Linked DNA regions of Lonchura striata. The protein of the gene in region 1 interacts with the protein of each later gene in a biochemical or structural test. Links are inferred from orthologs where the notes say so. Each region holds a gene or a part of one and is shown on either strand. Other genes may lie near its edges.

Region 1 (6,956 bases):
CAAGAGACAAGAGGCAACGAGTATTCAGCTGGCTGAGTATTCAGCCATGAAAAGTCCAATATGCTCAGGATGACGTCTCTGTTCCTTTGTCATGGTAGTCTGCTGCTCAACCTGGACCTAAAGTCTGAGAGCCTTGATTACCTTCTCAATTAGATTTCCTATTGCTGGTCAGGGATAGGCAAGGGATGCAAATGGGTTGGTGCTTTTGCTGCCTGACAGCTTGATGATTATAGTGTCATATGTGGGGGTTGTTAAAGAAAAATCTCTACTCTGATCTTCCTGCAGAGTAAAATTCAACAATACAAGGTACTTCTGGGCTGCAAATGAACACTGAAAACAAATGTTCTCTACTGTGAAGGCTGTTTCTCCTCTCTCTTTTTCAGCTTCTGTAGTGCTGGAGATTGAGCAGATGATCAGTCTTGCAAAATGTTTGCCTGATATATTTCAGAGGGCTTACTCTCAGCTGCTAAATTTGGCTGATTTCCTTCCTAGTATTTAGTAATAGTATTTTTAACAAATGTTAGAAAAATGAAAATTCCCACATTTCAGAGCTGAAGGGAACATAGCAACTGTTATGTATCCATTATTCATAGAAACATAAAATCATAGAATATTCCGAGTTGGAAGGGACCCACAAGAATCATCAAGTCTAACTCCTGGCCCTGCACAGGATATCCCAAGAATCACACCATATGCCTGTGAACATTGTCCAAACACTTGAACTTTGACAGGCTTGGTGTGGTGGGGAAGCTGTTTCAGTGCTCTGTCACACTCTGGGTGAATAATCTTTTCCTAATATGCAACCTAAACCTCCCCTGGCACAGCTTTGTGGTGTTCCCGTGGGGCCTACTATTGGTCACCAGCAAGAAGATAAAAGCTCCTGCCCCTCCTCTTCACCTTGTAAGGAAGCTGTAGACCACTATGAAGTCCTCCCCCCCTCTCCCCTTCTCTAGGCTGTACAAACAAGCCACTTGAGCTCCTCCTCTTAAGTCTTGCTCTTGAGGACATTTACAATCTTGGTCCCATTCCCTTGGACATACGGTAATAGTTTGATGTCCTTCTTATATTGTGTCACCCAAAACTGCCCACAGCACTTGAGGTGAGGCCCACCAGTGCAGATCAGAGTGGGACAATCCCCTCCCTTGGTTGGCTGGTGATGCTGTGCCTGACACCCTCCCAGGGTGTTTGACCTCCTGGCTACCAGGACTCACTGGTACGAGTCACTAATGTGAGTCACACTGCAGACTTATATTCAGCTTGCCACTGACACTTTCTATGGTGCTGCTCTCCAGCAGAACCTGACAGACCTGCAGTTATCAAGGTCATCCTTCTTGCCCTCCTTGAAGCCTAGGATATTAGCCAGCTTCCAGCTGAGTGGGATGTCTCCAGATTCATGCTCATGCTCCCCAGGGGGCTCCTGGCTCTGTCCTATGTTGAGTCAGCCTCTCTTGTGCAAGCTGCCGATTCCATGTAAGCCTCTCTTGGGTTTCCCCTCATTCTAGAAACTCGCCCTGTTCTCCATGATCCCCTACTCTGCTGTGAGATGTGCTTGTACCAGAGCTGTTTGCCTCAGTAAGTAATGGTTGAATGCCAATGATAAATTTGGCCTCACATATGCCACCCACTACTTAGAATCTAACTAAGGCCTAAGATTCTGGTATGAAGAGATCATATTGCCTGCAGTATAGACTTATGCCTGGGACAGACCTATGGCTGTCTCAGCGTTTGTCCAGCCACAGCATCTAAACTACTCTTCAAAGGTAGTTTGCATCCTACTGGGTGTTGCAAATTGCATGGTAGTAGTTCACACACACACACACACATACACACAAACACACACACACACACACACACACACACACAGGCACACACACAAAAAAAATAGGCAAGTACATTCCATGCGGCCCTCCCCTTCACATATGCATTTTCCATCTGTCCAGATGTTCCAATTTATGTGTTTAGACTGTTCAGTTCCAAGCACAAGTTTCCTACTATACCTTCCTTCTGCTTTATGGGAATATCTGCTTCTTCTTTCTTCCTTGTATCTCTCTGCTTGGATCTTTCCATTCTACAAGCTCCACATCTCATCTCTCCCTGACCTTAACATATAAAAGAGTGAAAAGAGATTAGGAGCAGATCTTCAGGTTTGGCCTCCCTGGTCACTTGAGTGGATCACGAGCTGATGACATCTGTTGGAGAAGGAAGAAGCTATAGCTTGCCAAAGAAATGTGGTCTTTGGAGGGCCATGACTGAATGCAGCTGTGATGTAGGAGGTGTGAAGAAGATGGGGAGGAACTGGTGTGGAATGGCTGCTGAGCTTGTGATTAGGTTCACATCATCTCAGACTCAGCACTAGGCTGGCCAAAGGCAGGCACAAACTGTTCCCTGAGGTCCTTCTACAGGGGAGCCCTTGCTCCTAGGGGGTCTAACCTGTCAGGATGCTCAGTGTCCTAGTTCTTGTTGGCCTGTCCTCCCTGGCTGACTGTTTTCCCAGCTGCTATCCTCTCCAGTGGAGGAGGTGACTTTGTGTGAGTCATTCTCTTCGGGAAAGAAACCTCTGGGTTCTTCCCCCCATGGTGTGAGCAGCTGAGGGGAAGGTATCCATAGCTATTTTATTTTCAAGGTCTCAGCTGGGGGCAGGAAGATTGGAAAATACAGACTAAAATTTGTAGCTTAGGGCGTAATTTATGAATAGGAGTTGAACAGACGCGTGCAGGAAATATTCTCACAGACTTTAAACTTTAAAGTTAAACACTTCTCAAGTTAAAAACAACATCAACTTCTTTTTTTTTTTTTCTTGTACAGGATGGTCTGGTGGGACATGGGAGGTCTGAGTTCTATTTATGTCTTCTGTCACCAGCTTCCTATGACCTTGGACTAGCTGCCTAACCTCTCTATGCGCCTCCGTTTCCTTCTCTGTAAGAAGGGGATGACCACATTTACCTGCCCCAACATATTCTTGTGACTTATTTCATAGTATAAAAATATAGAAAGGGCCACAGTGGGTCAAACTGAAGATCTGGCTCATGCAACAGCGTTTCTTCTGGCTCAACAGGGGAAAAGTGGAAACACGGGCCTTGAACTTTGCGGTCATGGGCTCTCTGCTGATCTTTCACAAAATAAAACATGTATGGGAAACGTGGTATGTGCATGGGTGAGAGGAGAAATATATTTCCAGCGCTGCCCTGGATGTTATAGACTCAGTGAAGGACAGCAGGGGAGCTGGCAGGGCAGACTTCCTAAGCATCCTTAGCCAGTGCTGCCCCTTCCTGGCTTCCCTGCTCTGAGCGCTCTCAGTGCTGCTGGCTGGGGACCCGTGGTGGTCTGGGTCAGGCCCCGCACAGAGCGATCTGCCCCACGGCTCCTTCTCCCCAAGGAAGGTGGGGAATGGAGTCTCGGGCGCCTGGGGCACGGGCAGCGCTTTGGGCACTCCGAGCATCGCGCCGGGCAGCCGGGGAGGGGCTGTAAATGGCCCCCGCCCGACCTGGCACCGGGCTCGGCAGCCGGTGGCGGGACGTGGCGCTGTCGAAGTTTTCCTGCGGAGCGGGAGAGGGTCTCCGCAACACCGGGACCCCGCCGCTCAGCATTTCATCCAGGAATCCCAAGCCGCTTCACACCCTGCCTAGAGGAGCCCGGCAACGTGCGAGCGACGAGTCCCGCTGCCCGCCCCAGCAGCGCGGCGGCCGCGGCGGCTGGAAGCAGCCCAGAGCCGGGCTCCGGAGGGACGGCACGGCCCGGCTCCCTGGGGGCCGGGGGTGTCCGGGACTGGGAGACCCGCGGGGCAGCGACACCGTGCCCGCCGACGGGCGGGCGGGCGAGCGGGCGGGGGACGCGTCCCGGCGAGGGCGTGCTCCCGGCGGAGGATGTGGGCGGGGGGGCGGAGGGGTGCGCGGCGAGGGGTGGAGAAGTTATAAATCAGCGATGCTGGGGCTGGCGGGTATCTGATGCCCGCGGGAGGTGAAGCTGGCAGGGCGGCCCGCAGCGGATACTCCGTTTCCGCAGGTCGGGCCGGGCCGGGGCGGGCGGGCAGGACTCGGGGGCTGCTGGATGCCGATTCCGCGCCTCGCTTTGCCGCTATCTCCTCCACCGCGGGAAGCGCCCGGGACCGAGGAGAGCCCGTCGGATCCCAGCCGGCGCCTCTGCCCCTGCCTCGCTGCCGTCGGCAGGGAAAAAGCCCTGCGTTCCCGCAGGCAGGACCATGCCCCGCCAGCTGCTCTCAGGGACCGTGCTGCTGGGAGCCGCCCTCCTGCTCGCAGGTAAGGCACCGCTGGTACGCGGTCAGACCCCGCTCTGCGCCGAGATCTCCGCGACGGGCCCCCAGTGATGAGCCTCGTCGGCTGCGCCTCCCGCGCCCCTGACCGGTCCCGCCACACCCCGCTTGTCGGCTGGAGCCGGCGGGCACCTGCCTCTCCTTCGCCATTCTCCTCTGAGCAGGGCCGGGGAAGTGATCCCTGCTTTCCAGGGAGCGGAGAAGCGCCGCATTCCCGAGCTGTCGTTATGCTCCGGATCCCCATCGGCGTGCCCGGGGAGCAGCTCCCCGGACGGTCCGGCGGTGCGGAGCCGTGGTGCTTCTCCCGCAAGGCAGTGGTGGCGTGGAGGCCAGCCTCTCCCGGGCACAGGGCACCGCCGTACATCATTGGGAGTTGTCCGAACCAGTGCATCACGGAACGAGAACATGTCTTGGTTCCAGGGCACGCTTCTTTTCTCCGCATTTTGTTTTCAAGTGTCCCCGTTCTGCCCGTGAAGCGGCAAAGCTGTACCTTTTCTTCGCAAAAATCGAGGTCCTGCTGCCTCCCGCCTGAGCAGGTCGGCGGAGCACCGGTGGCGCTCCGTGCGGGGCTGGCTGCCGGGTCTTACTGGAGAGTGGGGTGGAGCTGCTCTCCGGTGCCTGCATCCCGCATTGATGGGGATGGATCATTGCAGATTTGATATTCTTAACTGAGTTTTATTTTACTTTGAGCCAAGAGCCAGTCTCCGTGGGCCGGAGCGCCGCGGTGGGCAGTGCGCCCCAGCGTTATGTGGCTGGTCACCTGAGAGCAGGGGTGTGCGTGGTGGCCGGGCAAAGGCCGGTCCCGTGTGGGCTCGTGGCTCGGCAGGGCCGGTGACCTGCGGGGATGCCCCGCGGAGAGAGGCGATGGGCGCTCCCGCAGCCTGTCCGCGCACGGGCTCCGCGTGTCCCGCCCGGGCAGCGCGCACGGCCGCGGCCGCTCCCGCGGGGACGGCGCTCGGCAGAAAGGGGCCGGCGGGGAGCAAGCACAAACCCCGGCTGGGGAAGCCAAAAGCCGGGCTCCCCGCGGGACAGCCGTCAAGGCCAGCGTTCCTGCGGTCCGCGGCCACGCGGTCCCTCGCGAGTGGCCGGGGCTCGGTGTGCTCCGCGCCGCTGAGCCCACGGGAGCCGTCCCGCTGCCTGAGGCTGCCCGGGAGGAGAGCTGGAGGGGCCGCTCCGACAAGACGTTTTCCTGCTCGGGAAGTGCTGATTCATCAGCTTTGATACAGATATATAGGTGTTCTACATTCTCTTTCCTTTTTCTTTTCCCCAGGAAAGTGCTAATTTCCCCACATTATTTGTCTCTGCCTAGGAGGTTCTCATGCCCAAGATGAAATAGGCACAGGCATGGGACACCCACCCTGGATACAGGAAATGTGGATTGAGATCCTTGCCAGGCTTCCTTCACAGCTTGAGTCCGAACTTCGGCGTCCTGCTCCTGCATGGGCTCCTGCAGTGACCAGCTCTGCTAGGGGACTGGCTTCCTCCTTCCTGTCAGAAAGGTTTTCCATTGTGCAGATCATGGCAAGCCCACTGCCCAGGGACAGGGTGGACTCTCTGCGCCAGGGGTGGTGAGAGAGACACTGCTTCACCTTCCTGTTCATGTGTACCCTAGACCAATCCCAGTGGGAAAAGCTTGGCTTGCTTAGGGGACAGCCAGGGGCTCTGGGTACTGGGGACAAACATCCCAATGGCTGGCTCAGGTGCTGTAGGTGTTGGAAAGTTTATTCTCTAGTTTGTCTGGGTGCCCTTACAACCATTCTCCTGGAAGTTCATATCTGCCCCATGTACAAGAGATTGTGCTCAAATCAGAATTTAAATGTTTTCAGACTCATTGGTTTTCTTGGGTTTTTTTGTTTGCTTTCTAGAAAAGCATTCTCGCTCAGCTTTGTTTGGACATCTCAAATAGGTTGATCATGCTTCTTCTGGACCACTGGCAGAACTCTCCATAGTTGCATTTGCATGGATAGTTTGAAAGTTATTGTTGAAGTGGGGGAATGTTTTGTACCATACATCTCTGTACTTTTCCTCCTATTTCACCCTCCTTCACTGCTTATTTACCTACATTTCTTACTCAGGCTGCCCAGCACTTTCCATTTCCAGTGCTCTTGATGCAATTCAATTAATCACTGGTCCCCTCTTGTAATTCAATCTCTGCAGGTGCCTGCTGAGCTTCAATTTACTGACAGGTTCTAGGGGAGACTCTCAGAAATAGTCAGTGGTTCAGAAAGAACCTAAATATACCTCCACAAGGAGGAGACAGAAGGAGGTCTTTCAGCTCATATAAATCTACTTAATAATTTAAAATTACCCAAAGCAACATGCAGCCTACAAGCTTTGAGAGTACCCATTTGAAAAATGAGATTAAGGAAATTAAATGCATTTGACATGTGAGTGTTGGGCACTTCAGCTCTCTTGTGCACACACATATTTTGTTAACTTGGGAAAGAACAATACTTTTTTTCTCAGTTTTGCATAGAATTCAAATATGTTTTCTTTATATCTTATAATTATTTATTCCACAAATTGTATTGCATATGCTTGCTAATGATTATACACATAACAGTCAACATGAATATGCGGTTGTTGTATTCAGTTCAATCTCCCAGTCCTCAACTTTATTGCCATAATTATAATTATTACTATAGTATTGCTATCATTTTAATCACTAGCATTTGGGATTGTGAAG
Region 2 (7,968 bases), on another chromosome or scaffold:
GCTGCTGCCCTGTCCCACACAATAGCAGAGTCTGCTACTCCCCATCTCCTTGCCTGTTTGCCTTCCAGAGCCAGGCATAGTCTCGCCATCACTATTATTTTGCTTTGTGTCAATATTATGACAGCTAAAAGCAGGAGAACTGCATCCACACGATAAGCAGCCAGAAGCTCTGGGCTGGGTGTGGATCGGGTTCCAGTTTGGCAGGGGAGAAAAGTGCCTGGCAGCCCCTGCCCACCGAGCGGCTGGGCTGGGAAAGCTGGAGAGCAGGGGCAGCAGCAGCAGAGCAGCAGCCGGTTTGTGCCTGTGTGCCTCTTCTCTGTTCAGTGCTCACTGCCCTTTCCCCAGGGTAGATGAAACGTGATAAATGTGCAGAATATGCTTGGTTCTCTGGTGGAAAAGTAACCCGTCTCTTTCCTGAGGAGAGGGCTGCTCTGCTCCTGCAGGGAGAATCTCACCCCTCCCACAGTTTCCATGCCCTGTGCCTCCAGCCTGTGCGGGCCCAGGCTGTTCTGTCTGCCGATGGCAGAAGGTCATGCACACTGCTGCACCAGTCTGTCCTGCTCTCAGCCTTGTTTTTCCCAAGCACAGCACTCTACAGCTGCTGGAGAGAAATTCCTGCAGGCTTTCTGGGACTTGAAGCTGCAGCTCCCACCCAGGGCTTCAGTAGAGGAACTTGGACAGAGCAGGGTGAGCTGTGCTGTGATTACTGTGTCTCTGCTGCCTGCTCTGGTCTCTCAGGTGCTTGGTGTGCATGGGGCTGCTGTTTTGGCATGGTAATTGTGCTTGCTGTCGGGGCTGCTGACAGAATGCTTACCTGTAAGTGCCCACGTATGCTCGGGGCTGTGGTGTGGCTCTCCAGTGCCTCACCCTGCTCCAGGGCTGTGCTTTTCTGCAAACACCCATGGCCTGACCAGTCCCTGCAGCATAGAGCTGCCCAGCCTCTGGCCACTGAGCACTAAGCTGAGTGGTACTAGGTCTGCCAATGTTGATCTACTCCTGGAACGCTGGCTGGATGAGGGCCGCGGCTTCCCAGGGCTTGGGTCTGGCAGTCTCAGGGACATCCTCCTTGGTAGCACCGTCCCTGCCCCCACGAGGGATTAATGTCTGAAAGCAGTATCCAGGCTTGCCAAGGATTCCCCTTGCCTGGGTTCTCTGCCTGGAGTGCTCTCCGGCAGTCCTGGTGCTCATCCCCTGCCCTTCCAAAACTCATGTCTGACCTAGGCCAGCCTGCAGTGCCCGTGGCCCGTGGGGACCAGACCCTGATGTCTCCAGGCATGGGGCTGGACTGTCAGGTGCCTGCAGGTTCGGTTGTGGGTCCCCAGGGAGGCTGAGCTCCCCTCCCCAGGAACCAAAACAAACAGCAGAGTTCCTGCCACGTGCAGCCGGGGCTGACTAAGGCCGGACGCTTCCGCCTGCCGTGAGCAGCAGTGGCCGGGGCTGTGAGCCACCACCATTGGGGTGCACAGCCTGGCCCATTTCCCCCTATTGTCAGCCTCCCCCTCAGCAAACACATCCCCCTGCACACCTGGGCTGGGAGAGGCACTGACGCCACCACAGTGAGCCACCAGGGACAGGGGATGTGCTGCCCAGGGCATCTCAGAGTTGGAGCTGCTGCAGCAGAGCTCTGAGGAGTCCTTCAGGGCCCAGTGCCCAGACAGGTTGTTTGCAAGCTGTTTCCTTGAGGAGCAGCACTAACTGTTCAGGGGTCATTGGTGCAGCTCTGCTTGCCTGCAAGGGCATTGGAGATCCCTGCATTTCTCAGAAGTCAGCAGCAGTCTCCTGAGAGAGAGGCCTGGGTTACCTGTGCCAAGAGGCTGGAGCTGGGGATGCCCCAGCCTGACCATTCCCATCCTCATTCTCACAGTGGAGATACAAACTGCAGGCGACTGACCTGGTTTATCTCACTGCTAGCCTAGCTATGGACTGGCTCTCTGGTAGTGGAGCTTGGGAGACTCTCTAAGAAGAGATCCCAGAAGCAGAGAAAGCAATCAAATGAAACAGTGAGAGGGAAACCTGGGGGCTCTGGGATGACAGGCAGGTGTGAGGAGCCCAGTGACCTACATCCTCATTCTGCTTTGACCTCAGGAGTCCCGTCACAATGCAGGACATAGGAAGCCGCTGGTGGGGTTCTTGCCTACTGGGGTCAAACACAAGAGGGTGGCTGTGCTGGGCACTGGATCATGGATGGACTGGCCCTTCCCTTGGTAGAAGCCTATGGCTTTGGTGAGACTGAGTCCTGTGTCCTAAATAGCAGCAGAACAAAAATAATGCCCTGAGGATTTCAGAGGTGTTCTCTGAGGGCTTCGGGGGTGATGCTGGAGGTCCTGGCTGCAGTCAGTTTAAGAATGATGCAGGGACAAGTTTCGGTTGGGTTCTTTCCATGTGAAATGCCAAAGGTGGGATTTTGCAGGGTATAAGATGCCCGTAAGAGAGCTCTGATGCTGAAATGGGGCTGTTTTATGGAAAAGATTACTTTAGAGCAGCCTTGCCTGCAATGAACAGGGTGGGGTTCTGCAGGGAAGAGCAGCTGCTTGCTTGGGGCTCTTTCAGTGTTATGGGCAGTCAGAGCCCTGCTCTTGCCCCTCACCCTGAAGGTGCAGGAAGCATGGAGGTGACCCTGCTCCCTGTCAGGGCTGTGCCATGGCATGCTTGCAGCTTGATGCCAGGGCTGGCCTTCCCCACTTGATGGCCAGGGCTCACTCACAGCAAGAACACACCATCATTCCCCACCCACCTCCTTCCTCAGCTCTGTGAGCAGGGCAGGGAGGTGGCACAGGCAGGCAGTGGCATATCTGGGGTGATGCTCTCAGGCAGCAGCCACTGCGTGGGGCTCACTTCAGGGGAGGCATTTGCTCTTTAAGGAAATGTCTCTATTTGCCTTATGTCCCTGGCTGGTTCCTTGAGCTTCCTCTGTCCCTTGCTCCCAAAGTGCGTAACTCTGCTCCCCAGAGCCGAGTGGGAGGCGGCGCGAGGGACATGCTGGTGCATTTATAGCACCGACCTCCAGCCCTGTCCTGCAGCTGGGGAAGGGCAGATTTGGCCCCCTGGGGAGGAGCATGGCAGAGGGGAAAGCAAGCAACTGTGACCCCAGCCAGATTGATGTTTCTTCCATATGCAGGAGGATATCGCTGATCACAGGTTACCGGTGTCCAAATATTATTCCTCTTCTCTCTGTGTTCCACACTGCCTAGAAAGTGGATGCTCATCCCAGGAATGTAAACTCTGCCCAAGGCCTCTGAGGAAATAGTTTCAGACCAGGAACAGGACTGCACTCAGCAATTAAGGGCTGGTCTCCCCAGCCACACAGCTCCTGGGGGAGAGCCCTTTGCACTAGTGCCAGAGGCTGGCCTTGTGTCTGAGAGGTGGCCCCGAGGGACCTTCCTGCAAGGACAGGCATGAGGCCCCATGTGGTCACGGTCTTTGCAATAACAGGATTCTGTCTGTCCAGTGAGTTGGCAGCAGCTGCTGCTCAGGGCAGCCTCTGCTCTCGGGTGGGAGGAAATGCTCTCTTCACCCCATCCCACAACCAACCCTGGGGAAGTGGGAACGGGGTCCCCTTGGCCCAGGAGGGTCCATAGGGTAGCCAAGGGAGGCTACAGGCATGCTCCAGTCAACACGTTAAGGATGTTACCTGCTCTTTGCTGCCCAGCCAAGACAAGAAGTATGAACAGACACTGAACGCTGCCACAGCAGCCCCGGCAGCTGCTGAGTTGGTGCAGTGCTGCTGAGTGATGAACTGCAGCACACCCTCCCCGTGGTGGGGCTGGGATTTCTGTGTGCTTATCTCTGCAGGATCTCCATGCTAATTTGCCAGGCCTTGCTCCAGCAGCTTTGTCACACACTCAGTGGTACCAATGCCTAGAAGCTCCTGACTGAGCCCGGCTCCTGCTGGTGCCTAAATCACTGCCACTTGCATGGCCCAGCGGGACTGAGGACAGGCAGCTGGCATGTCCTGCATCCCCTGGGGACAGATGGGAGCAGATCACAGGGCTGGGAACAGATCATTAGCATCCTCATGCTGCAGGGACAGACCTCACACGGTGCTGGGTAGGGAAACCCTGAAGCAGCCTCCCCACTCTCCCAGGAGGACAGAAACGTGAATCCTGGCATGGACACAGAGCTCGTTATTTCCCTAGGACCTGCAGCCCACGGGGGATCGTGTTGCCTGTTGGCATCTCATCACACCTCCCACAGCTCCAGCTTCCCTGGCCTCAGGGGCTTAAAAATAGAACAGAAAAGGCCAACAGAGCTGCTTTGGGTTGGCAGCAGGGTTTGACCTGAGACCTGCTGCGCCCCTTTCCCTTCCGAGCTGTAGACCAGAACCAGGATGCTGTCCCTGAGGCCGGGGGGGGGCTGGAAACCCTTTGGCAGGGGTCCAACGGCAGGAGCTGATGGAACAGGCATAGGGCAGCTTGAGGGGGAAGGGGGTGGGTGGACAGTCACGGGAAGTCTGAGTGGGAACAGGGCATCAGTAGAGGAATGAAGAGGATGGGTGGGAAAGGGGCTGTTGTATGGGGGCAGGAGCCAGCTGGGCACAGAATGGGTAGATGGGCATGGGGCAGTGAAAACAGCAAGCCGAGAAGCCCAACACAGCCCCGGTGGTTCCCGCCGGCCGGGATTCACCGGCACGGGACGGTGAATGAAGCGCCGGGACAGCCCGATGGAGTGATGGCCAGAGGCGGTGCGGGGGCGCTGGAGGAGGCGGCTCTGCCGCGTCCGGGAGCACCGGCCGTCCCCGCGGCCGCCGGGGCCGGGCACCTGCTCCCGCCCCGCGGCGGGGCCGGGGCGGGGCAGCGGCGGGGCGGTGGCGGTGAAATACGGCGGCAGAGCGGGGCGCGCTCCCATGGCCCGGCGGCGGCGGAGGCGGCACGGCGGGGCCGGCGGCCCGGCGTCGGGGCGGTATGCCGGGGGCGGCAGGGCGCTAGTGGCGGAGCCGACTCTGTACCGGGGCGGCGGGAGCGGCGATGCGGCTGCTCGGCGCCTTCCTGCGGTTGCTGGTGGCCGGGACGCTGGGGGCACCGCCCGCCCCGGTGAGAGCCGGGGGGCGGGAGGGGGGTCGGAGCAGGGTGCGGCTCCCCGCTCCTCCCGGCTCTGGGCGGGGGGCGGCGGCGGGTCACCCCGTGCTGCCCCTCCAGAGCTCGCCTTTCTCTCCCTGCAGGCCCCGGAGGAACGGGGGATAGCCAGCACGGAGTCTCCCGGTGAGTTGGTAGCGGGCGGCCGCCGGTGCCCCGGCTGGGAGCGGGCAGCAACCCAGCGAAGGCTTCGCGCAAGGCTGGGGAGCGTTGGGTACTACCGGGGCTGTGTTACCTCTGGAGTCCCGTGGTGACAACCGGGGAGGTAGCCGGGAGCTGTGCCGAGGCTCGGAGCAATGTGATGCCCCCAGCCCTCCTCGGGCACCGGGCACCGCCGCGGGCCGGAGCACAGCCCAGTCCCTGGACTGCCGCCCCTCCGGTGCTGGCATGCGGGGTGCCGGGTGGGAGCGCTCCGCTTCTGCGCTCCCTCCTGGAAAGCCCCAGGGAACGGCTGTCCGGCCGGGAGAGATCCGGGGGAGCCCCTCCGCGGCGGAGCTCGGGGATGAGCAGAGTGCCCGGGCAGGGGATGGAGCTGGCGGAGAGAGGGAGAAAGAGCCTGTTGGGACGGCTGTGTGAGCCCCCGCACAGTGATGTGCACAGTACGGTGACGGACTTACTGCGAGCACAGACGCCCTCGAGGCTGCTGCACCTGCCCCGGCAGCGGCCCGGCTGGGCTCTGCCTCTCCGGACGCCTCCTTATAGTCCCTGTCTCTTGCAGTCCTTACCTTTCGGGAGATCTGGAACCGTAGTTTCTGCCGGCCTCTGGAGCAGCTGGTGGACGTCATTACCGAATTCCCTAACGAGGTGGAGTACATTTTCAGACCCTCCTGCGTCTCCCTGCAGCGCTGTGGAGGCTGTTGTGGGGACGAGGGTCTCCGCTGCGTCCCCGTGGAGACAAGCACGGTCACCATGCAGGTACGTGCTGCTGCTGCGGGGCCGGGCTGCACCGGAGAGGTGCAGGGCTGCTCACCAAGCGCCGGGAAGGTGAACTTGCAGCTTTGCGTCCTCTAGACATTGTAGCAGTGTGGCTAGAGAGGGAGAGGATTTACAAGTGCTCAAATGCATGCCAAGCCAGTAGGGTCCCTCTGCCTGCTCTTTGAGCTTGCCCCTGAGGTCAGGTGTCGCCCCTGGTGGTACTGGCCTTACTCCCTCCTTCCCTGACTTCTCTCTGTGTGGTCTGTCTTGCTCTTGCTGTCATTTTTTCCAGACCTTTCCTGTCCTGTGGTGGGGCTGGGGGGTGTTCCAGTTAGCTGTGGCTGCCTGCTGGGACAAAGTAGGTACTGCCCTCGAATCGAAGGGAGGAGTGAGGCTCTCCTCTATCAGGTGATGCTTGGGGTGGTGCTGACATGAATGCCCCCACACTGCGGCATGGTGAGCATGAAGGGCTGAGCCAACTGCGTTTTCAGTCACCACTGTGTGAGCTGTGAGATGTGGGATGGGAGATCCTGAGCCGTTCAACTCTTCCCCATGTAGCAGGCAGCAGTTGTCCTCACACTGCAGCCCCTGCACAGAGCTGCCAGAGGTCAACCTGCTGATGCTGCAGGAACCAGGCAAATGCTCTACTTTGCCATGGATGATGGACTAGGGAATGCCTGCAATAAATCACCAGTGATTTTGGTCTCTCTGAGGTTGAAAGTGTGTTGGAAGGAAGGATGGCAAAAAGCTCTTGGCTGAGGTGGATCAAAAGCCTGGTGTGAGCAGGAGGAAGCTCCCCAGGCACAGGTCTCCCTCTATGGGAGGGATCCTGCTGCTGTGTACAAAGTGGAAATGTCAGACACTTCTGCAGGAGCTGGTGTGGATCCCACCAATTATGAGTGTACCCTGTAAGGCCCTTGGATGTCCAGCCTGAACTTCAGGCTGGGCTGTGACATGTGACAGAGCGAATCCTGTACCCCTGGACTGGGGAGGCACTGTGGTACTGACTCCAGTCAATTCCAACTCAGTGCTGTAGGAAAGGGGTCCAGGAGGAGGCAGCAGCAATGGAATTGGCCTGAAAAACATGACTGGGGGGATATTTCTGTCAGAGAAGGGAAATGTGCAAAGGGGTCAAATATGTGAAAATTCTCTGGAAAGGCAGAGACTGAAAAATCTTTTCTAAGGCTGGGAAATCCTGAGACCACATGACTTAAATTAAAGCCCTGAAGACATGGGGAAGCGCTAGCAGAGCCGCCACTAGCAGAGCTGCCAGGGCAGCTGGGCCTGGCCAGTACTGCCTACGTGTGGAGGTGGACTCTGTTGTTGGAGGTCCCGAGGAACAGGTTAGACATGCATCTTCCCAAGAGCCTGGGGTGGCAAGGCAGTGGTGCAGGAATCTTTCCAGCCCCCTCCTGCCACTGCCTGAGAAGTAACCTTTGCTCTTCTTTCAGCTCCTGAAGATAAAGCCAAACGGGGAGGCACCCTATGTGGAGATGGCGTTCACCGAGCACAAGCAGTGCGAGTGCAGGTAGGGACTCCTGGGTTCCAGCAAGAGCAAGCCTGCCAGCTCATTCTGTGTGTGGAACAGGGATGCCCTGTGGGCACCCTGGCTGTGCTGGCACCCCCTCTTGCTGTCTTTGCACTAGGGTTTGCTGCTGCTTGTGGCCCTTGTTCAGCTGCAGGCTGCCCCACATCTCTGCACCTGCTCCCCGCAGACGATGGGGTTTGTGCCATTGTGAAGACAGGTCAGGCACCATTCACTGTCTGCAGGGCTGTGCTCCCCATCCCTGCAGCTGCCTTGGCACGCCTGGCATGTGCTCCTTTAGCCAGAGGATCTGCCTGTGAGCAATGGAGCAAGGCTGGTGGCTCTGTGGCAGATAGCACATCCAAGTTGGTGGCTCAGCAAGGAGCTCCATGGCTTGGCATGCCTGAATGTGACTGTGGCCCAAAGAGAAAGCTCAACAGCTGAGTTTTGGGCCAC

What was found.
Region 2: the proteins of FLT1 (region 1) and PGF are reported together in a solved structure, tested with the Homo sapiens proteins (2 studies listed by BioGRID and IntAct, with this or other methods). The link is inferred for Lonchura striata from reciprocal best matches to the Homo sapiens genes FLT1 and PGF.

What each region holds. Positions count from the first base shown.
Region 1 is NC_134604.1:68,796,093-68,803,048, forward strand, and holds the start of FLT1 (vascular endothelial growth factor receptor 1), read left to right. Parts: upstream 1-3,954; 5' UTR 3,955-4,198; coding exon 4,199-4,256; intron 4,257-6,956. UniProt on the Homo sapiens protein: Tyrosine-protein kinase that acts as a cell-surface receptor for VEGFA, VEGFB and PGF, and plays an essential role in the development of embryonic vasculature, the regulation of angiogenesis, cell survival, cell migration, macrophage function, chemotaxis, and cancer cell invasion.
Region 2 is NC_134608.1:23,220,474-23,228,441, forward strand, and holds the start of PGF (placenta growth factor), read left to right. Parts: upstream 1-4,964; coding exon 4,965-5,030; intron 5,031-5,158; coding exon 5,159-5,198; intron 5,199-5,790; coding exon 5,791-5,987; intron 5,988-7,438; coding exon 7,439-7,515; intron 7,516-7,968. UniProt on the Homo sapiens protein: Growth factor active in angiogenesis and endothelial cell growth, stimulating their proliferation and migration. It binds to the receptor FLT1/VEGFR-1. Isoform PlGF-2 binds NRP1/neuropilin-1 and NRP2/neuropilin-2 in a heparin-dependent manner.